3 linked regions of the Rhinolophus ferrumequinum genome follow. The protein of the gene in region 3 interacts with the protein of the main gene of each other region in a pairwise test. Links are inferred from orthologs where the notes say so. Each region holds a gene or a part of one and is shown on either strand. Other genes may lie near its edges. The genes, in order: CD81, SLC15A4 and GLP1R.

Evidence for each region.
Region 1: the proteins of GLP1R (region 3) and CD81 interact in a protein complementation assay, tested with the Homo sapiens proteins (2 studies listed by BioGRID). The link is inferred for Rhinolophus ferrumequinum from reciprocal best matches to the Homo sapiens genes GLP1R and CD81.
Region 2: the proteins of GLP1R (region 3) and SLC15A4 interact in a protein complementation assay, tested with the Homo sapiens proteins (2 studies listed by BioGRID). The link is inferred for Rhinolophus ferrumequinum from reciprocal best matches to the Homo sapiens genes GLP1R and SLC15A4.

What each region holds. Positions count from the first base shown.
Region 1 is NC_046294.1:1,566,027-1,573,617, reverse strand, and holds the start of CD81 (CD81 antigen), read right to left. Parts: upstream 3,068-7,591; 5' UTR 2,873-3,067; coding exon 2,807-2,872; intron 1-2,806. UniProt on the Homo sapiens protein: Structural component of specialized membrane microdomains known as tetraspanin-enriched microdomains (TERMs), which act as platforms for receptor clustering and signaling.
Region 2 is NC_046308.1:2,063,124-2,070,314, reverse strand, and holds the start of SLC15A4 (solute carrier family 15 member 4), read right to left. Parts: upstream 3,092-7,191; coding exon 2,558-3,091; intron 1-2,557. UniProt on the Homo sapiens protein: Proton-coupled amino-acid transporter that mediates the transmembrane transport of L-histidine and some di- and tripeptides from inside the lysosome to the cytosol, and plays a key role in innate immune response.
Region 3 is NC_046286.1:8,927,703-8,935,673, reverse strand, and holds the start of GLP1R (glucagon-like peptide 1 receptor), read right to left. Parts: upstream 3,067-7,971; 5' UTR 3,013-3,066; coding exon 2,935-3,012; intron 1-2,934.

The sequences.
Region 1 (7,591 bases), on a different chromosome or scaffold from region 3:
AGAATTAAATGCCAGTTAGCAATGCTTCTAATCAGCCTCGTTCCCAGCCGGGTCTGGCCACCCTGCCTCTGGAAGGCAGCCACCAACTGCATTAGGCGGACGGGCAGCCAGTCCCAGGCAAGGAACGCTCTGCTCCTCTCCCCGCAAGGACCAGTGGCTCCCTGGCCAGCCCCCCAGAAGTGGGTTCTTATCATGCCCATTTCCCAGGTGAGGGCAGCAGGGCTCATGCAGGCCAGCCGCCTGCCCCAGGTCACCAAGTCCAGTGCGGTGAGCAGGGATCTGAGCCTGTGCCCTTCCTCATCTGCTCCAGTACCGTACCGGCCCCCTCTGCCAGGAAGCCCCCTGTCCCACCCCGATGGGCAGGGGTCCCATGCTGCCTGGCTCCGGCTCCCAACCTGATACCTGGCTGGCTGGGGAGCCCCAGGGTCTCAGCACCGGCAGGGCAGGAGAGCAAGTGTGCAGGGTGACCCAGCTCCTTCCTGGAGAAGCACGCCAGGCCACCTTCAGGCCTGCTCCCACGTGCTTGGGGCCTTTGCCTTTCTACTTACTCCCCAAGAAGGAATTTTACAAAGTTTCTGGGTCCACATACCCATTGTCACCCTCTTCTCCCGGCTCCCACCCTTGGCAGCCACTCCTGCACTGTGACTGGGGTGCCCAGCTAGCAAGTCAGGTTGGGCACTGGGAGCCCCACGTAGGGGCCTGAAACCCTTCCCCAAGGCACTGCCTCCACCGGGACCACGCTGAGCAGGCTTCCTGCTGGCCACCTGGCCCAACATCCATTTCCTGAGTTCAGCCCCTACCTGTGAGCCAATCGACCAGCAACGCCAGGAGATAGGATTCGGAGGACCCCACTTTAGAGGGGAAGAAGCTGGGGGCTAGGACCAGAGCAGTGGGAGGGAAACTTTGCCCAAGCCCAACCCCACTGCACCAGGCTCAGCCTGGTGATGGAGCGGGGTGCAGAGAGGGGCTCCTGCAGGGTGTGCCCCCAGCCCCACAAGGCTCAGCTCTGCATTCCCTCACCAGAGGGGGTGAACCGGCATGGGTGGGTGGGGCCACGGTGACTGGACCATGGAGACCTACGGTGCAGACACAGTTCTCAGTGCTCAGCTGGAAGTGGGAGGGAGGGGACAGGCCTCGGAAACATTTCCCTAAGTCTCAATAAAGAACAGCCCCAAGGGACGTGTGGAGCCTCCACCCCAGCTGCTTGGGAAACTACCAGACTGGCCCAGCTGCCAGCTCCAGGGGGCCTGATCTGCAGACCTCCCCAGCTGGGCAGGTGGGAGGGACTTACAGCCCAGACACCAGGCCCAAAGACAAAGAATCTACTCCTGGAGAAGTCCCCTTCCTGTGCCTACCCTCTACCGCCCTGCCAGGGTCCTCGCCCCCATATCCAGGCTCAGCAGAGGGGCATCTGGGTGCCCCATTGACCCCTATGTTTGCCTGGCCAAAGCCGGCAAACACTAAATCCAGGACGACACCACCCCTCAAAGGCCCTAGTGGCTGCCTGGGGCCAGGCTTGGCCCACCCCCAAGGCAGAGGCCAGTGGCCTCCAGGGGTCCCCTAGGTCGATGTGACACCGCACTCTACCCCCAGCTAGAGTTCAGTCCAGTCTCTGTCTTCTCGACCCCAAATCCCTTGCTGCCCGAGAACCGCTCTGGGTCCTGGCTGTCCAGATGGGAAGCATATGTTCCCACCCCACATACTCGGGGTGAGCAGCCAGGCGTGGCAGCAGCATGGAGGAGCCTGGGAGGGGTCCCAGTCACTGCCCAGGGAGGAGGGCACGGCCATCATGAGAGGGGCTCCTTCCACCGCCTCTCCGGTCCCAACACTGACAGGAAATGGAAACAAAAGCAAAACTCCATCAGTCACTGACCAGCAGTTTACACCCAAGTCAGGAAAATCCCAAAAGGACTATCCTGTGGGTGCTTCTTTCCACAGTGGAAGTCCCAGGCCAGCCCCTGGCCCCCAGAGCTCAGGGACACCCAGGTCTTCAGGCCCCTGCCCTGTGCCAACTGGAAGGGACTGCCCCATCCCCACTCTCCAGGCCTCCACCACCTTGGGGGCCAGGCCTGGCTGGAATCTCGGTCTGGGTGAGAAGGGCAGGGGGATCTGGCCCCACACACGGGGGCCACCACGGTGCAGGCACGCCAGCACACAGGCCACACCCGGCCCAGTGTGCTTCCTGTCTGCTCACCCCAGTCCAAGACCCCAAGAACGGTCCCAGGGTGACGACAGCTGACTGGGGGGTGAGCTGGGCTGGGCCAATAGTGGGGTGGCCAGTACCCAAGACTCGGACGGCGTGTGCACCCCCAACCTGGCCGCCCATGCAGGGGCGGTGGCCTGGATGAGCTCATGGGGGCGGGACGCCCTGAGACCCGCCCTCAAGCCCCCCCCCCCCAGTCCCCGCGAGGCAGGGTGGTCCCAGGAACAGCATCCAGGGGGCTGAGCAGCCCCAGTACGCGGCCCGGAGCCCGCATCTACCCCACCTATCACCATCACCAGGCGGGAACAGACCTGAGGCCCCCAAACGCCCCGGCCCGGCCGCGGGGACCCGGGCCCTGACGCCCACAGGCCCCCAAACCCGGCTCGCAGCCCCCCGCCCCGCCGTCAGGGGTCGCGACGCTCCCAGACGACCCCCACTGCCCTGGCCTGCCGGCCCAAGACCCCCAACCCCGCGCCCAGCGCGCACAGGTGGCCCCACAACTTGGCGGCCCGGCCGTGCCCCCTCGGCGGGGCCTAGCGGGGCGCGCGGCCCGCGGCTCTGCTCTGGGGCGCCCCCGCCCCGCCCCCCCCGGCCGGGGCTCACCCAGAAGACGAAATTGAAGACGAAGAGCAGGTACTTGATGCACTTGGTGCAGCCCTCCACCCCCATGGCGGCGCGGGCGGCGGGCGGCCTGTGTGGCGCGGGCCGGTCCTGGGCAGAGGGGCGCGGGGCCTGGGGACCTGGTGAGCGGCCGGGGGCTGAGACGGCGGCCGACGGGCGCGGAGGCAGCGGGCGCGCGGGGACGAGTGGCGCGGGAGGCCGGACTGGGATACGTGAGGCCGGAGCCGCCGCTGCGCGCTCGCTGTCGGTCCGGGCGCGCGCCCCGCTCCGCCACTTATATGGCGTCCAGACACCGCCCCCCCGTTTGCTCCGCCCCCGTCTGCTCCGTCCCCGGCCCCGCGGCCCCGGAGGCAACCCCTCCCCCTCGCACGCACACTTAGAGGACTTGGTGTCCCCAGGACCCCAGACCCAGACGCGTTGTGCTGGGCGCAGCGACAGGACCGCGGCGAGGATGCCCAGGGAAGAACCTCTCCCTTTCTCCCACAATTCTTCTTCAGGCACCTTGTACCTACCCAAGAAGGCTTCCTGGAAGAGGTGATGCGCCAGCAAAGGCTACGTAAGCCAAGATAGCAGCGCCCTTTATTCGCATCGCTCCCGGGAATGGGAACCTGGGTGGGCGATGAGGCCTGAGAGTAAGCGGACCTCGACCTGAAGATCCTGGAATGCAATTCTAGGCATCCAAACCCTTTTGTCCCGTGGTCCGGGGAGTCGCTGACCACTCTTAGAAGAATCTGTTTCGAAAGGTGTACCCTAGGCCACTGCTAACTGTCTAGGAAGCCCAAGCCACCTGTAGGAGAACCTCCAAATGTCTTGTACGTATTTCGTGCATGTGTCAGTGGTGCCAGGTCGCCCAGATGCTGCTGTCTTCCTGAAGTGAGGGTGGTCCCACTGCCCTCACTGCCCGGGGTAATGAGGAGGTAGACAGGTGACTCCTCAAGTGAGGGATGCTTTCTCCCCAGGTGACAGAGCAAGTCTGCAGCAAAGTGACAAGCAGATGAAGCCATGGAAATGCCCACTGCCACAAATGACTACTGCCCACTTGAAACGTGGCCAGTGCCCCCGCCGAGAACTGAGGTTTTCATTGTAGTAAATTTGGATGGCCGCGGGTAGGCAAAGGCGGCCACATTACAGAGGAGCCCTGTCGTATTCATCTGTGCTCAGCTGTCGTGTTCTTGGTGGTTAATTTTAAATTTTGTTTTGGCTTCACGCGTGTATGAGAGCTCCAAGCACACGTTTACACCTAGTGTTGTTTATGCACGTCCAAGTGACATAATAAAAGTAACTGAAGTCTTCTTCCTTTGAGGGTCTGCCAGGGTTGTTTTTGTTGAAAAGGAGGCAGGACAGTGTTGGTGTAAGGAAATGCCTGCCCTGATGTCCTGGGGGTCCTGCGCTCCCCACAGCTCCCCGCTGTCCAGTTACAGGTCAACTGCCAAAGAAGTGGGGTGAATCCTCAGAGAACGGCCTTCCCTGGGCCCCGTGGGGGGAGCAGGAGGACACTGAGCCCACCCTCAGGGAGCAGGGCAGAAGCATGCCCACTGCGCTGCGTCGCTGGCCAGCCCTCCCCAGAGCAGGTCACACCTGGCTAGCCTGGTCTGTGCTTTGCTTCAGTCATGTGGCAGATGTTTAGTGGTGCCTGTTACCTGCCAGCTGCAATTCCAGGCACTGACTGTGGGAGCTGACCAGCCAGGACCCCTTCCCTCAAGGACTGTTGGCCTGTGACAGATGCTGCCTCACGATGATCATGTCTCATGTTGACTGGGGAGGGAGGAAATTTCCAGGAGGCTTGAAAGAGTCATGGAGTGGGGGGTGGGGAGGGCAGGGGCGGGGCACTCCTCTCCTTGCGGGTTTGGAGGATCCACAATGAGTCCTGGCCCTAGAGAGTGGGAAAGAGCCAGCTCTGCCCTCCAGGCAGATGGGAGACTGGTAGGAGGAGCAGAAAGGATGCTAGTAGGGCGGGAGCAGAAGGAGGGAAAGAGGGCCACACCCAAGGAGGTCAGGGCCAAGGGTGAGGTGGCTGGCTCTCCGGCCTGAAGGCCAGTGTGAGGTCTCCTTCAATCCTGACTGTCGTGGGAGCCATTGGCGGGTTTCTGCAGGGGCACCACAGGCATGACTTCTGACCTGAATGGGGACATATGTGGGAGCAGACTGCCTTAGCCCCACAGTGGGACCTGCATTCACAGGGAAAATGGGCCTCGAGGGTCGGGACCACCTCCAGGGGCTGGTACCTGTGGGCTGTCCGCAGGGACCACTTCTGAAGTGCCAGGGGCCACCAACTGACCTTGTGAGGACTGAAGGGGACCAGTGCATTAACCGGGGTTTTCCAGAGAAACAGAATCAGTAGGAGGTGTGTGTGTGTGTGTGTGTGTGTGTGTGATGTACTATAGATTATAAAGGAGATTATTACAAACCAGCTCGTGTGATTATGGAGTCTGGGAGGTCCCAGGACCTGCCATCTGCAAGGAGACCCAAGACAGCGGGGCGTTTAGTTTCAGTCCAGATGTCAAGAGCAGGGAGCTGATGGTGTAAATCCCAGACCGAAGGCTGGAGATGAGAGGAGAGGTCCCAGCTCATGGGATGAGGCAGGAAAAAGGGGAGAGTCCCCCCTTCCTCTGCCTTTGGTTCTACTCAGGCCTCAGTGGGCTGGATAAGCCCTCCAATTGGGAGGGCCACTGCCTCACTGAGTCCACCTGTTCAAATGCTAATCTTACCTGGAGACACCCCCGGGTATTCCCAGAAATAATATTCCATCTGGGCACCCTGTGGCCAGTCACGTTAACAAACACACAACACTGAACATCACAGTAGCAATGACATGTGTGGCAGTGTGATCTGGGGCAGGTGGGCCTCAGGGACTGCGTCCTGGGAAAGATCCCCAGAGCCCCACTGTGGGCTGGATGGCCCACAGCCTGGAGCTTCCATCCAGGCTCTGAGACACACAGACCCAGAAGGGCTGCGTCAGAGAACGATGGAGAGAGGGGAGAGGCTTGCCTGCGCCAGGCCTGGCGTGGGAGACCCCTCCCTGTGCCTGCCCCGCCCACCAGCCCATGGGCGGGGCTGAGGTCCTGAGGACAGGCGGGGCAAAGAGTGGGCCTTGCTGCCCCGGTGTGTTCAGCTCCGAGTCTCTTTCCCTCCGTGTGACTTCTGGCTGGTTCCTCAGTTTCCCCATATGCAGTGGTGCCATGGAATGTGAGGCGGTGAGAGGAGCAGCATGCTGGAGGCCACTGCCTCCTTTAAGCTTGTTGGGCAGACAGACTTCACTGCCAAGCCCAACTCCAAGGACGGGTGACTCACTGCTCTTCTGGGACATGCTTTCTGTTCAGGGGGAATCACTGAACCCCGCCCTGTGCCTTGATTTCCTGTGGAAGTAAACCGAGACCACCCAGATGAATGGAACAGAGGCTGTTTATGCAGAGAATGCTGCAAAGGGGATTCAGCCACCCTCACTGCACTTGGCTGAGACTCAAAGGCAGGCCCTGAGGGGAACAGCTTCCTACTTACAAAAGGAAGACTTTACCATCCGAAAAACAATCCATGCACCGCACCACATTGATGGAGTCAAGGACAGGATCATCTCCACAGTTGCAGGAAAAGCATTTGACCAAACCCAGCACTCTATCCTGATGAAAACACTCGACACCTCAGGAATGGAAGGGTTCCTTGAACGTCTCATAAAGGGCACCTTCAAAAACGCCGCTGGCTGATAGCATTACCAAGTGCAAGACTGGAAGCATTTCCCCTAAGGGGAGGAACAAGACGAGGACAGCCACTCTCCGTCGCTGGAGGCTGTGGCCAGGGCACGTAGGCAAGATGAAGACAGAAAAAGGCATCTGTACTGGACAGGGAAGCAGAGGACGTGACATAGTGCATAGAAACCGCGAAGAAATACACCCAAAACCTACTGAAACTAATAGACACCTGCAGCAATTGGCAGGTGACAGGATCAAGGTACGAAAATCAATTTTATATCTATACACGAGCAATGGACAGTCCACACATGGAATAAAGAAGACAATCCCATTTGTAATAAATAGCAGCAAACAGAACAAAGTATCTGGGAATAAATTCAGCCAATTTATTATAAGACTTGGACACTGGGAACTACAAAACATTGTCAAAGGACCGAAGGCAGGTCTAAGTCAATGCAAAGGTTCCTGGGGTTCACAGATCAGAAGACTCAGTCTTGCCACAATACCAGTGCTCCCCAAATTGACCGACGGCTCCACACAACCCCTATGACAGTCCCCATTGGCTTTACCAGGCTCACCCTAAGTACTATACGATTACAAGGGCCCCGGGACACCCAAAACAGTCGTGAAAAAGGAGAATAAATTTGTTGGGTTCACACTTCCCGGTTCAAACTTCCTGCAAAGCTACGGTGATCAGAACCATGTGGAAACCAAATGCATAGAATCGAGAGCCCGGAAATCGATCCTCACCGTCCGGGACCCTCCATTCCGTGTCGTCCCCATCAGGCATCGGTCCATATAATGGAGCTACGCCTACGAGACAGTCTCTTCTCTGGCCCTGAGCCTCGTTCGAGGCGTGAATGCCGCCTCGGGCCCCCCTCATTACATGACATAACCGGCTCAGTCATCCCTTCCCCTCAGCTGCTACTCCTCCCCCCCTCCATCTACACCCAGACACTTCCACCTGCGGGATGACATCAAGTTTGAAAGCGCCTTTACCGTTCTAACTTGGGAACCAGCCTTCCTTCTGGCACTGGAACTTACAGCCCTTGCCTTGTGATCACTGCAAAGGGGGATGGGG
Region 2 (7,191 bases), on a different chromosome or scaffold from region 3:
TCCTCCACGTTATATTGAGAGTCAGCACTTTGTTCCTGTTTATTGCATAATATTCCACTGTGTAGATGGCCCACTTTTGCTTTATCCGTGGATCAGCTGCTGGACATCTCCTTAATTTTCACTAAAAAAAACTTTAAACTGATAGAAAAGTTGAAAGAATAATTAAGAAATACACCCCCGTATCACTCACTCACATCCTTAGTTCTTCGTCTGTATCTTTGAAATACTTTTTTAGGCTGAACTTTTTAAAAATAAGTTGCAGCATCATATTTCACCCCGGAGATTTCGTCATGAATCCCCTAAAAACAAGGCCATCCTTCTACACGACCACAATGCCATTATGACACCTGAGAAACTTCACATCAACACAAGTGTGTCTAATATGTTGTCAATATTCACTTATCCCAACTGTCTGAAACAAATGCCTTAAAAAACCTGTGGGACCTCCTCACGAGCACGCGCTGCTTCTGGCTGCCCGGCCTCTAACACTGCCGCGTCTGCCGTGCTCCTGGTTTCCCCGAGTGTCAGACGTGGAGAGATTAGGCCACTTATCTTGTAGAAGAGAACACATTTCTTTTTAATGTCCACATTTAACGACGCCTCAAAAGAGGGCATATTCTGTCACGTGTTGTAGAGAACCCCTATAAGACCATTTGTTCTTTAAGCAATTACATTCATTTCGCATCTGTCATCTCCCGGAGAACACGACCTTTTAAGTCATCACGCCTGGGTCCAAACCCAGCCACCCCACTCACCAGCTGTGTGCCCTGGGTGGGTGAAACCCTCGAAGCCCGTTGCCTATAAGACAGAACAACTGTAGCATATAAATTGTTGGGGGCTTAGTAGGACCATGTAGGAGGAGCACTCAGAGCAGGAAAGGGCCTAAGACTCATGTCACCCTTCAACCCTGTGGCCTGGCCATTAAAGATGGACAACTGTGCTCCCAGCAGGTGGCCTCTGCTGTGGTCTGTGAGCTGATGGCACCTCAAGGCCAAAGCCACACGCCCCGGCCTTGACACCCGGCCCCCCGCCTTTCTTTTGCTCCCTCACAGAACACACATGTCCCGCTTATCTTGGTGCAATGGCTAAAGTGTGGACTAAGAAATCGGACCTGGACTAAACCCCTGGCTTGATCACTCACTGCCCACAGGACAACAGCAATGACCAATCCCTGCTTCGTGCCTGGTTCCTGGTCTGAAGAATGGGTGTAAGAAGATCCATGTGAGGTTCAAATGAGATCAAGTGTGTAAAGCACATTCCATGGTGCAGGGAATGAAGAACTCGGTACACCAGGCAACTATTACTTCCAACGTCACTACAAGGTGTCGCCTTACTGTGCTGGATAGCCTTATACAGGTATTGGTAAAGCTCAGATCCCAAAGACCAGGCTCTCCAATGCTGGCCCAGTCATGCACTAGCTGTGTAGCTTGGAGCAAATGACTTCACATCTCAAAGCTCCATTTCCTCATCTGTAAAATAGGCACAGTACGAGCAGTGGCGTCGTGTGGACTAATAAAGTACTTAGCACACAGAAAGCCCGCAGTGAATGTACGCAACTACATGGCTACTTAACAGAAAACCTAGGAGTTGTCTTTCCTCTCGCTCACTCGACCTCCATAACTCATCCCAAATCCACACACATCGATCCACGCCCACGGCCCCACTCTCTTTCATCTGGCAAATGTAACACACTCCTACCTGGCGTCCTGCTGCCACCACTTCCCATTCAACCTAGGTTCTCCACCGTACGTCCGTGCTCGTCGTCTGACCAGCAGGGCCTACATATTTTAGGTTTTGAGAGACGTTCAGTCTCTGTCCCAACTACTCCATTCTGCTCCTCTACTGTGAAAACAGCCATTGCGCTGCCGAGAAGCAAACAGAAACGAGTGGGGCACCCTCTGTTTCAATAAAATTTTCTTTGTGGAGACCGAAATTTGAATTTCATAGAGTTTTCACTTGTCACAAAACATTCTTGTTTTTCTCCTTCCATTTAAAAACCCAAGACGCATTCCTATTCTTAGCTCCAAAAACAGGAAGTAGCCCAGATTTGCCTGGCAGGCCACAGCTGCCACGCCTTGGGCAACAGCAGTTGAATCTTTTACAAACATAAATCAGATCATATTACTCCCCTGCTGAAAATCCACAAAGGCTCCGTACTGTATGCAAAGCAGACGTCCAACTCTTTATCAAGCCTCCCAGGACCTGGCCCCTGCCTACCACCTCTCTTCCCACTTTAAAAAACACAGCGTCTGACCTCGTGTAAGTTTAAGGCGGACAAATGTTGATTTGATACATTTCTGGATCGCAACACCACTGCTACCGTAGCCACACCACCACCAAGGATTTCCTCTCTTCCCGGGCCCAGCCGCCTTGTCTGGGAAGCTCCCTTGATACTACTGTCCAGGTGACCCCTCAAATGGCTCCTTTGCAAAAAGGAGGTGCCTCTATTGGCAGCCATCTATCCGTATGCCCCGTCCCCACGGCCCCCTCCCCAGGGCTTATCCCAACGGGTCCTCGGAGCCTGTGGACGTCCGCGTCCCGCACCCCGCGCGCTCACCTGGTCGGCGCCGAAGGGCGTGATGTTGGCCTTGACCGCGCCCACGCCCAGGCCCACGATCGCCAGCGCACTCAGCGTGGCGGGCGCGCAGTAGCGGGTGGGCGCGTCGGCGCAGGGCGGCGCCGAGCAGTTGCGGAGGCGCGTGGGGTGCGGGGCCCCGCAGAGCGCGGCGCGCGTGGCGGGCGCGGCCAGCAGCGGGAAGGCCAGCATGCCGAGCAGGTAGAGCGCCAGGCTGAGCAGGATGGCGCGCGCGCGGCCGAGCAGCGCGTCGGCCAGCCAGCCGCCGAACGGCGACACCAGGTAGGTGAGGCCCATGAAGAGCAGCAGCGCCTGGCTGGCCTGCGCGCCCTCCCAGCCGAACGGCGCGCCGTTCAGGAACAGCACCAGGTTGGCGGTGACGCCGTAGAAGGCGGCGCGCTCCAGCAGCTCGGTGAGCAGCACCGCGGCGCACGCCGCGCGCCGGCCCGCGAACGCCGCCCGCCGCGCGCCCAGCAGCGGCGCCCGCTCCCCCGCGCGCCCGCCCGCGCCCTCCATGCGCCCGCCCGCCCGCCGCTGCCGCCGCTCTGCCGGCCCGGGCCGCCGCCCTCGTCGCCAGACCGGCCCGCCGCCGCCTCGGCCCGCCCCCCGAGCGTCCCCATTGGGCGGGCGCGCCCCCGCGGGAACTTCCGGGGTCACCGGGAAGCCCGCCCCGGTGGCGGCCGCGCTTCCGCCGTGGGTGGGGCCGCGGGGCGAGGCGTTCCCGCGGGCACGGTCCATGAGGCTTTCAAGTGTTTGCCGGGCGCCCCGAGGTGCCAGCCCCGCCGCTGCAAAGCCGGCCCGCGCTGAGGCTGACGCCTGCGTGGCTGGGCGGGCCCCGCGCCCGCCGCCTGGCCCCCGGCCGCCCGTACTGCGGCAGGCGCTTGTCTGGGGTGTGGGCCGCCCTGCGCACAGGAGGACGGTTAGTCGCCGCCCTCCCCTCTGCTCTCCACTGGATGCCGGTTCCACCCCAGTGCCCCAGCTGTGACAACTGAAAATTCCTCCAAATGGCCCCTGGGCCGCAGAATCACCCCCATTGAGAAACCACTGCCCTAGAATGAGCCAAGCTCAGAGCCCGGCTCCTTGTCACGTGGTTGGCATCCTGTCTTCCTCCAGTTCTCAACTCCAGGGTCATTTCTTAGAAGCGTTTCTTGACCAGCCCATGCAAAGTCGACCCCACCCCCATCCTGTTTTAGTTTCCCCATCGTATTTGTCTGTTTTATTGTTTATTCTTTTGTCTCCCCAGCTTGTCCGTGGTCCCCATGGTGCAAGCTCCATGGTGGCAGCGTTCTTCTGTTTCTTGTTCCTCACCGTGCCCCCGGTACCTACAACAGTGCCTGGCCCATGGAGTGGGACAGAGTGTCCTCCAAAACCGGCCCCCAGCATGTCTTCAGAAATGGGGAAGCATGGCTGCAATGATTCAACTAGTGTGACATTGTTTCCTCTTCCTCCATCCTTAACTCCAGCGAAGAAAAGGAAGGAGCCATCACCTGGGAAGGCGGCTTGCCAGTGGGTCATCAGGGTAGGTGGTCCTTCTGAAGACACTTAAGTAGCAAGTATTAACATTTTTACCTTCCTAAATGTCTGACACCTAGACTAATGCCTGGTGTGCTGGCACACAGCAGGCCGTAGGTGAATATTTAATGAGAGCACCAGGAAGCCAGAACAGGACCTTCCCCACACGATCCAGCAGTGCTAGCCAGCTTAATTATCAGCCTGTATCACTTTCCCGATCGTCCCCGATGAGATCAGATCCCCTCCTTGTATGTCATTACAGCACCCTATACTTCTTTTTTTACACAGCACCCATTATAATTTATAATTACTTATTTTGTGAAACTGACAGCTATCTTCCAAGCTGGAGGGCTGACTTCGTTTATTTTGTCCTCACTATATTCCTAGAATCGAGCGCAGTAGCCACCAATGATAAATACGTGTGGAATTAACTGCATAAATGAATGAATATTTGTTGAATTGTAAATGGTGCTGAAAGAACCTCTCTAGTCACCTGATTTTTTTTTTTTTTTTGACATTCCCATGATGTCTACAGCGTATATTTGTAGCCTCATTTCACTAACGGGAAAAGCAAACCCCTAAAGATCCCTCTGCAGGATCACACATAGTAGGAGGCGTTGGAATCAGGCTTAAAGAAAAGGCTTGTAACTAGGTAATTCCTAGCCCAGTGCTTCTTCCACCCTTCAGCCAGTAGACGAGGCAGGACCTCTGAGTGTTTGACCCAAGACGGACAGGACTGACACTCAGGCAGAGTCCAGAATAACATGAACATTAGACGTGGGATGAAAAGCCGTTTGGCGTGGCTCGTGCGATGGCGTGGTGTTGAACCTTTGCCCGTTATAGATGTGCCATTTTGGAGGACAGCAAACCACCTCAATTGGATTGTTTCAGTGAAGAAGCATAAAGCTGAGAGAAAAGGGGGGAGGGAGGCAGTTACAGAGTTCAGGTTGACACTGAGGAATTCGGACTGCTTGTTTCTGACCCGTGGGAGGGGTCTTGGGCACTGCCATCTCTCATGCCTTGAGATTGCAAAACAAATCCAGCAGGCAGAAATGTTTTGGTTTGGCTGCAGTGTTAAAAAAAAAAAAAAAAAAAAAAAAGCCAAGACCACGTACTGCAAGATTCCATTTCTATGAACTGTCCAGAATCGGCAAACCTGTACCGACAGAGTGCAGATGGCGGTGTGATTGCCAGGTGCGGGGGGATGGGAAGATTGGGGAATGGCTGCTAAAGGGTCCGTGGTTCCTTTTTGTGGTGATGGAAATATTCTAAAATTAATTGTGCTGATAGTTGCACAACTCGGTGAATGTACTAAAAATCATCAAATTGAACACTAGATGGATTGAACTATATGGCGTGTGAATTATGTCTCAATAAAGCTGTTGCCCCCAAAAATGTGAGGTAACAGTTAAAAATTGGAAGGTTTCACATACAAATTTGGATGCCCTGCTGCTAGTAAAAACCTGAGAACTCTGGCAACTTTGGGACTTGTGGTCACCTGTTACTCTAGTGACAGCACCCTATCCCTGCTCGAACCACGCCTCTCGTGTTTGTTCTTATATATTCTGCACAGGTCACAGTCTTACAAGGCTGGGCCTATGACCTGCTTGGCAAAGAGACCCTGCAGAAGTATCCCTGGGCCAGGTCTGGGCCTAAACCTTAAGAAGGTCTGGCAGCTCTCACTTCTGTGCCTATAAGAGTCCAGAATGCCATGTAAGAAGTCCAGCTACCTTGCTGGAGAGGTCACATGATGAGGGACAGGCAGCAGTGACCTGGTAGAGTGGGGGGATCCCATTGCCCCAGCACCCCAGGCCACCTGCCAGCTGAATGAAGCCACACAAATCATGACCAGCAAGACCAAAAGAAAAACTGCTCTGCCGAGCCTCAACCCCGATAGCAGAACTGAACAAACAAGATAGTTGTTATTATAAACTAGTAAGTACTGGGGAGGTTTGTACCCGGCATCAGATAGTGGAAACACAGCTGACTTCCCTCACAGCCGTTGTCTGCTGACGGCCGGTAATAGCCACTGTCTTTAATGAGGCATGCACTTTCTAGCTTACTGAAATCCTCCCCTCTCTGTTGTTTTGTTTTTCTCACGGTAGAGAAATTATCCTCTGTGTCTGCACTGTCCAGTGCAGTGTTTGAACTTAGATTAGTTCCAATTCCATAAAATGAAACTGCTTTCCCTCAGTCTCACCAGCCACATTTCTAGTGCTCAGTAGCCACACGTGACAAGCGACGCCCATGTTGGCCATCACTCTACCCCTGCAGAAAGACCTGTCTGACACCGCTGCTCCGCGCCCACGTGAAAGGGCCCGATCACTCACTTGTCCGACACGCACACCCTCTTTGTCCTTCCAAACAGAATCCTGATTCCACTCAGGTGTTTACTTGTCCCCATCCCATTCCGCTCCCCACCAGCTACCCATCTAGCCTGGAAGAAACTAACTTCATTGTTTCTGGATCTGGCTAGTTGAAACCAATGCTGGTCTCTCCTGCTCTTCAGGAACCCAGATGCTAGCCACCGGGGATATGAAAATCTCTTAGGGCCCAGGAGAAGACAGGTGACATAAATTGGCCCAGCAAGGCTGAAGGAAAGAACCCTTATTCCATGACTGCGAGACAGACACACTTTTCCAAACTGGGCGTGAAGTAGGAATTCCGTGGCCCCAATTGCTGCCGGCAGCTATCTCACAACCCTGAGAAGAACAGGTTTAGGATGAAGCCAGCTTTGTGGGTAGCACAGTTGAGAATCAAGGAAAAGTCAGATAATAAAAGATAACAAATCTTACATTGTTTAAGCTACTGTGTTGGATTTTCTGTTACCTGTAGCCAAAGCCACTTACTGTGATTCGATCAGGAAGTGGGAACATTAAAGGTAGAGCAAGGGAGGGCAACCTGATTTTTGTTTTCTCGGACCCGGCCCAATTTGCTCTTAGAGTTCTCTGCCTGGCCCCCTGTGATCGGGGGTTGTCAGCCCTTGTACTAAGCCCCAGTGATTGTATAGCTAAAGACTTGGTGGAAGTGGCCTCTCCCCACGTTGTTGGGTATACTTGTCCTGAAAACAACTGTGTGAGTCTCTCCTGTGCAGCTAAACTAGT
Region 3 (7,971 bases):
CACTCATTCTGTCACAAGCACCTCTCTCACCCACACACGGACACATACTGGAAGACACCCAGTCACACACTGTTTCTCTCTCTCACACACACACAGACCTTCCCATAGGTACAGCGTCATACATAGGGTCATAAACACACATACACTGTCACAGACAATTATATGCCGAGATGTTTCACACACAGTGACACACACAGGCAGACTGCCACACACAGGATTACATACAACTACACAGAGAAACAGGCTCATAGAGCCCACACCCCTCACCCCTTGGTCTCTCTCTTTCTATCTCTCTCTACCTGTCTGTTACTGTATCTCTGTATCTCTCTAACACACACACACACGGAAATCTGCCTAGAGGCAGGCCACAGCTAACGCACTGGAGAGCAGGGTGTGACGTCCTGCTTGCTCCTGCCCCTGCACCCACCGGCAGTCCCTGTCCTCACTGACCACTGTGCATCCTGGACTCCCTCCACCCTTCACTGGAGTGCAGAGGCCAGTCCCCACAGCCCTACTCTGCTGTCCTGGAGAAGGCTTTCAGATTCCTCAGGACAAACAAGTCAGTTCCCCCAAGCGACTGAAGCTGCTGTCTCAGGGCGCCAGTGTCTCAGTCCTCTCCATAGCCCTGTACGGTCGAGCTGGTGACACCTATTTCTGGATGACAAAACTGCGGTTTGGACGGTCAAGCGTCCAGCTAACAACAGACCCGATAGTTGAATTCAGGTTTGTCTCGTTCTAATTTTGGGTGTCAAAGGCCTGCCTGTCTCCTCAGTAGAACAGCTCCGTCAAAGGGGTCTGGGAGAAGGAATGGGGGTAGAGGGTGGCTGGTCCTTTCCAGCAGCAAGAAAGTGGCCCAGGTCTGCTTCTTTGGAGCTCAATCAGCCATCGCCCTGCCTGCAGGAAGCTGCTTCCAGCCTGGCCAGACCTGACAGAGGACAGCTCACTCTGTGCTCTTCCTTCAGTCCCGCTGGGGTAGGCTGGAATTAGGCACCAGCCCAGCCCTGCACCCCTTGTTCCTCTCGAAACCGCTGGGTCACTTTACACAGAAAATCCTTCTTTTCTGAGCTTTTGTCCCCCCATCAGTGACACGCAAGGGGGAGGGGAGTCTTACCAATCTCATGAACAGAAAATAGAATGTGAGATTTGCCATTTTCAGAGTCTTACACACGGGCATGAGGTTGTGTCATAATTATTGCAGTCTAACCTCCAAGGCCGCGTCGCTCAGATCTCCACGGGGGCTGGGGATGCCTGGGGATGCGCAGGGTCCCCGAGGAGAGCATGCCCCAAAGCTCCCTCCTCTCTGCTCAGAGACCAGCTCATCCTGCCCTTCTCTGCTCCGCCTCCGCCCCACCTGTTATGACCTCAGGATATTTGGCTTTTGCCCTTGGCCCAGGGCTGAGAAATGAGGGGATGAGAAGACATGGCAGGTTCAAGGAGCCCGACTCCTCTGGGTAAAAGAGGAGAAGACAGGCAGCCCCCAGGACCACTCCTCTTCCCTTAATCCAAACCGGTTTTTAAACTTGACCTGGAACAGGATGGGACCCCCAGCCCAGCCCAGCCTAGAGGAGGAGTAAAGGTGAGAGAGAAGCAGGTAATGGGTCTGCAGTCCTGGCTCCCGAAATATCCCAAGTGCACTGGGAAGCCAAAGCCTGGCTGAGGGGTTGGGGGAAGGTGCTATGGGAGGGAGGGTGTCTCCTGCGGCTGTCCTGGGGTACAGGGAGAGGAAAGAAATCTGGAAAAGAATTTGGGGACCGAAAATGGCCTGGCGCCTTAGCTGGGAGTTACATCCGTCCACATTTGGATTCTTAAGGGGCAGAGTCAGCCTCTGCCAAGGCCATGGCCCCTCACCCTGCCTCCCACCTGTGCTGGGACACATCTCAAAGCCTGTATAGGTCCACTCCCCAAAGCTCTCGGTGTTTTAGGTCTGAGGGTAGGGATGGGAGGCAATGGAAAAGCCAGTTCCCTGACACAAGGCAGGCCACCCAAGCCTGTGCCTCCTCTCTGCTCGAGCATCTCACAGCAGCTTTGCACAACTTCCCTGTCCAAAAGCAGGCTGACCATGGATGGCCCCCAGCCCCGGAGCTTGGAGGAGGGAGGACAGTGAAGGCCAAGGACAAGGGCTTTGGGGTCCACCCTGTGGCCTGCTCTCCAGGGACATGGAGAAGGCCAAGGTGTCTGTGTGTCTCAGTACGTGCTCTGGTGTGTTGTCCATCAGGGGGGCTCAGAAGGAGGGCTCAGGCCAGTGTGAGGGGGGCCTGGCTGCTTCCAGAGGAGCAGGAGCCTCCAGCGGCGTGTTTGCCGCAGGGGCTGGGGGGTGGGGTGGGGTGGCACTCGAGTTCCATCTGGGAGGTCACAAGGAAGGACAACAAGCTGCCACCGCAGGGTCCCTGGGGCTATGAGTTAAAGGCTGTGCCGGGGGGCTGGTGAGTGGGTAATGGAGCTGGGTGTCCACCCCCGGCTCTCTCTGTCCCCCAGAGCCGTCTCAGGGTCTTTGACCAGCGAGCGGGCAGGCTGCGGGGAGGCACTGCGGGGCAGGGTCAAGGCGCAGTGGGAGACGTTGAGGTCAGGAAGGGGGCGAGCCTGGGCCGGGGCAGGGCGGCCGGCACGGGTTTCCGAGGAGAAGGAGTTGGGAAAGTGTCTGGGGAGCCGCGGCACAGAAGTCAGCTCCAGGCGGCCGCGGGGCAGCTGGCGCCCTGGCAGGGGGGCCCCGGTCACAGGAAGAGGGTGCCGCGCCCGGGATGGGAGAGCCGCCCGCCGGCCAAGCCACCTCGGTCACCCAGCCCAGAACGCCAACTCCCCAGTCCCTACTCCCCTCGAAGCTTGGGGTCCGTCTGCCTGCGGTCGCGGAGTTTCGCTCAAGTCCCGCCGCCCCAGCCCGGACCCGCCGCCCGCTGCGCTCCCGCCTCCCCCCTTCCCCGGGCTCCACGGCCTCACCTGAGGGCGGGGGCCGGCCCTGCCCACCGCCCCGAGCAGCAGCAGCGCCAGGCGGAGCGGCCCGGGGGCGCCGGCCATGGCGGGGCGCTCAGGACTGAACCATCGCTGCCACCTGCGGAACCGCGCGCGACGACTAATCCCGGGCGGGCGGCCAGCGGCGGGCGCGGGGGAGGAGCCGGCGCGGGGCCGCCCCGCCCGCGGGAGGGGCCAGGCGGGGTCCCCGGCCTTCAGCCCCGGCCCGCGAAAGCCTCCCTGCCGTCCCCGTGGCGCTGCTCAGCCTGTCCCGGCCGGCTGCTGCCCGGCCCTGCGCCCCCCACCCCCGCACTGCCTCCCAGGTGCCTCCAGCTAAGGAAAGCCAAACCGCCCCACACGTACTCAGGGTACGCCCAAGGAAACTTAAGCTGGAGGAGGCCAAGGGACTGGTCCAAGGTCACACCGTCCCTCAGACCCTTCCCAGAAAGTGTCACGCTAAGAACTGCGAGTGACTAGAAAGACTAGCTGGGTACTTAACCGTTTTCCAAGACCTCTCTTTATTCCCGAGCTCTGTCCCGCAGGCAGCCCTGGGACAACCAAGGTTGGGGAAGGAGAGGGGAGACAACAAATGGATGGATGGAGCCCTGATGGTGGGGAGTGCTTCTCCCACTTCTGCAGCCCCCACGGCCCCTGCTCTGAATCACTGGGCTCTGAGAATCCTGTGTCGGTGCGATAACATGTGCCCATGACTTCCCTGTGACTCCTGTGTCTTTGTCTCCTCCTATTTTACCTGCTTTTGTGTCCACCCCCACCCCCAAACGCAGCAGGCTGTGGGAGAGCGTGCTAAGAAGATAAGGAGGCACTGACTTTGTTACCTAGTAGTGCCTGTGAGGACTGGGGTTGGGAAAGAGGGATTACCTTCCACACCCCACAAAGAACTTTGATGTCACTGTGGGGAACAGGGGCGGCAGCAGCCCTCAGCCCTGGACCTGCCATGGGGCATGTCTGGAGCATTCCAAAGGGAGAGGGAATCTGTTGGAGTAGCTGTTCCTCGGAAAGAACAGAACTTTTCAAAGCCCAGAGGAGGCTGGCGCTGTCAGGGAGAAGGGGCTGGGAAGGAGAAGAGGTGGGAGACAGCTCGTGGCATGAGCCAGGGACTCCCGTTCAGCAAGAGGGGTCTTCCTCCCCAGCCAGCTCTGTCTCCACGACCCTGGAGTCATTTATTCCCTCCTCTTCCCAGAAGTCAGTTTGACAGTCACCTCTGTGTGTCATTTAGGATTAGTTTGTTCATCTGCACCTGACAGAAAAGCCCAAACAACAATGGCATAACCAAGGGCTGTGTCATGTACAGCTAGGCCAGAGGTTCAGCTCAGGTTGGAGCAGTGGCTGCCTGATCCCCAGGGTCCCAGGCTCTTGTAGCTTCCACCATTCTCATGGTGCAAGGCTCCCTTCCACGTGATGATCCATGGTGGCTGCGCCAGCTCTGACCATGATGTCCACATTCCAGCCAGCAAGGAGGAAAGGGGCGAACATGGGTGTACCTCCACCCATAAGGCACATCCTGGAAAATGCAGTTGTCAGTTTCGCCCACCGGGCAGAACTAGATACATGGTACTCTTAGCTCCAAAGGAGGCTGGGGAACGTGACTTTTATTCTAAGCGGTCTCTGGCAAAGTTTATTAGGGCTTTTATTACTCTAGAGGAAGGCTAACGCGGCTGAGCCTCGAACAACGCTGGGGTTAGGGGTACTGACCCACGCTGTTGCAAATCCACGTATAAATAACTTTTGACTCACCAAACACTTAACTCCAGTCATCCCTCGGTATCCACAGGGGATTGGTTCCAGGACCTGCCACAGTTACTAAAATCCATGCATGCTCAAGTGTCTTCTATAAACTGATATAGATAGACCAATGGGTATAGTTGGCCCTCCGCATCTGTGGATTCGCAACCGAGGATAGAAAAATACTGTTTTCTTTTTCTTTTTTTTAAATTAAAATTTATCGGGGTGACAATGGTTAGTAAAGTTACACAGGTTTCAAGTGTACAATTCTGTAATAGTCAGATGAGAAAAGTTGAGAACCATATGATTTCACTGATATGTGGGGTATAAAACTGAAAGGAACAAAGGAACAAGATAAAGAAAGAAAGAAAGAAAAATACTGTCTTTGGTCTGCTGTTGGTTGAATCTGCAAATTCGAAACCTGGAGATATGTAGGGTCGACTGTATATTTATTGAAAAAATTCTGTGTATAAACTACACAGGTTTGACCTGTGTAGTTCAAACCTGTGTGTTCAAGGGTCAAGTGTATATATCTAGATAGATAGATGGATTGATAGATAGATTATAGATAGATGATAATAGATAGATAGATAGATAGATAGATAGATAGATAGATAGATAGATAGATAGATAGATAGATAGATGTTGGGAAACAACTTGCAGGCTCTCTGATACCAGGGTTAGGGTATGGGGAGAGGAGAGAAGAGCGGAAGCTAAGGGGCTAGAGAAAGTACACAGAACTCTGCCTTTACTATGAACTTATCAACCTCCAAATTACATTTAATCCATAAGCACGTATCTATGGAATACCTGCCATGTGCCAGACACTGAACTAAGCCCTCAGGGGTAGAGTGGTGCTACGTGGTGCCACAGCATCTATCTTCAGGGAGATTCCTTTCTAATGCAGGAGAAAGACATTAAATAAGTGTTTTTTGGAGCCATTTAGATTACAATTACACTCAGAATTAGCACTGCTGGGATAAGCAGATGCTGTACAAGTCGTGCCCTCCGCACTTAAAAGACCACTTTCTCTCTGCAGGGCAGGGGCTTTCTGTGACTGGGAGGAGACTTTTGTGTTCAGCCAGTGCAGGGCAGGCACCCCTAGGAGCAGTTCTCAAGCGTGAACGGACATGAGTCGATGGATAAATACCCCAGTTCCTCACCACTTGGACTGGACAACTCACGTGTGTACCACAGTCTCCCAGAGGTCCCAGAGGGGTGGAGCCTCAGCTTCCCGCAGTGCTAACCTGCCCCATAATGCACCCAGTGTTGGCTTCCTTCCCTGGCCGGTCTCACTTTCTAACAGTAGGGGACTAGTGCTTCCTGAGGACACCTCCCAAATAAAAGTAAACTACTCGTCTGAAATCCTCATCTCAGGGTCTGTTTCTGGGAGAGCCCAGCTGAAGACAGTGGGCATATGAGAGTATCCAGGGATGGGAGCCGGGCCCCTGAGCCCAGAGGCAGTTGGGTGGCAGATTATTTAACTTCTCTTTTTAACACCTGGGGGTCCAAAGCCTCTGAGTTTGCTCTGAGGCTGCCCCTTATCTCATATGTGCCAATGTGGATTGTAACCGAGGCTCCAGGAGGGCCAGCATGCTGTATTTCAGCACTGGCACAGGTCGGTGCCTCGTAAGTGCCCAGTGTTCACAGACACTTCCTGGTTCTGTCTCCAGTATGACGGGTGATACCGGGCGCCTGCCATGACTGGTGCTTCCGTGGATGTGCCCTGCAGCTGCTGGGAGCTTGGGTATCAGGCATTTGTCAGTATTATTCCCCCAACTTGTAAGGTAAGTAAGCTTCAGAGTAGGTCCAAGGTCTGGTTCTGTTTTGCAAACAGCTGCTCTCGCTCCCCCCTTATCCAGTCTCCTAGAGGATCGTTTTCTCCAACCCTTATCTGACCTTGTCCCTGAGCCTAGCGATTGTTTCCCTAATCCTCCAAATTCCTCCAAACTCCTTAGCATCTAAGGAGTCTCCTTAGATCTGCTCCCCACTTACCTCCCAACTGGACCTCTTGCAAGTAATTCTCCCATCTCTTTGCACACGTGGTACTTTCTGTCTGAAGTGTCCTCACCCACCCTGCCTGCCTGAGCTCCTGCTCATGCTTTAGGAGCCAGCTCAGGCAGCTGCCTGTCTAAGAAAACTTCTCTTATCCCTGCTTCTCAGTGCCCCTTTGGGCAGCACAGATGCTTTAGTCAGCAGTGACAGCCCTGGAAGTCTCCCCGAAACATGGTTCTCCCTCAGGGTACCCCGAATCCTACCCACCCTCAGAGCCTCCGTGGAGGGGTCACCCCCACCTGGAAGTTTTCCATGATTGCACCCCACCCCAATTTTGCAGGGCCCTGGTCCCTTGTGCTTACCGCCATCTGGACACTTTGGAACCCTCTTGAATGCTGGTTAATTCCTCGGTTTCCCTGAGTAGGGATCTTGTTTTACTCACCTCTATACCCACAGTACCTAGTGCCATGCTTGGCACATACATACTAGGTGTTCAATGACTCTTGTTCAAAACAACAGATGGAATAAATTGAAGTTCTTACTGTGTTCTGTCACTATCTCGTTATGACTTTCCCTCATTAGATTGTGGGCTCCTTGAGGGAAGGATGTTTCCATCTTCGTCGCTGGATATCCAGTGTCGGCACAGGCCCTGGCCCATAGCAGGTGCTCAGTGATGTTTGCCCTCATGGAAATGTGTCAATCCAAATATCCACTGAAGTGTCTGGCACATAGTAGGCGCTCAAAAACTTATCAAAAGGAGGATGTGCTGGGAGAGAGAACAGATTATATACTGGGGAGTACGGTCCTCTCCTCTCCCCACACGGTTATCAGGGCCTCTCGCTCAGGCCCTGCTATAGTCTGAATGTTTGTGTCCCCCAGTCCCCAAATTCATATGTCGAAATCCTAACCCCCCAATGTGATGGTATTAGTAGGTGGGTCCTTTGGGAGGTGATTAGGTCATGAGAGCAGAGCCCTCGTGAATGGGATTAGTGCCCTTATAAAGGAGACCCCAGAGAGCTCCTGCGTCCCTTCCACCATGTGAGGACAGAGGAAACATGGCCATCAATGAACCAGGAAGTGGGCTCTCACCAGACACCAAATCTGCTGGTGTTATGATCTTGGACTTCCAGACTCCAGAACTATAAGAAATGCGTGTTTGTTGTTTATAAGCCACCAAGTCTATAGCATTTTGTTGTAGTAGCCCAAATGGACTAAGACAAGTGGCCCTAGAAGAGAGGGCAAGAAGCTCTGTAAGAACAGAGATTTGAATGGACGCAATACCATTTC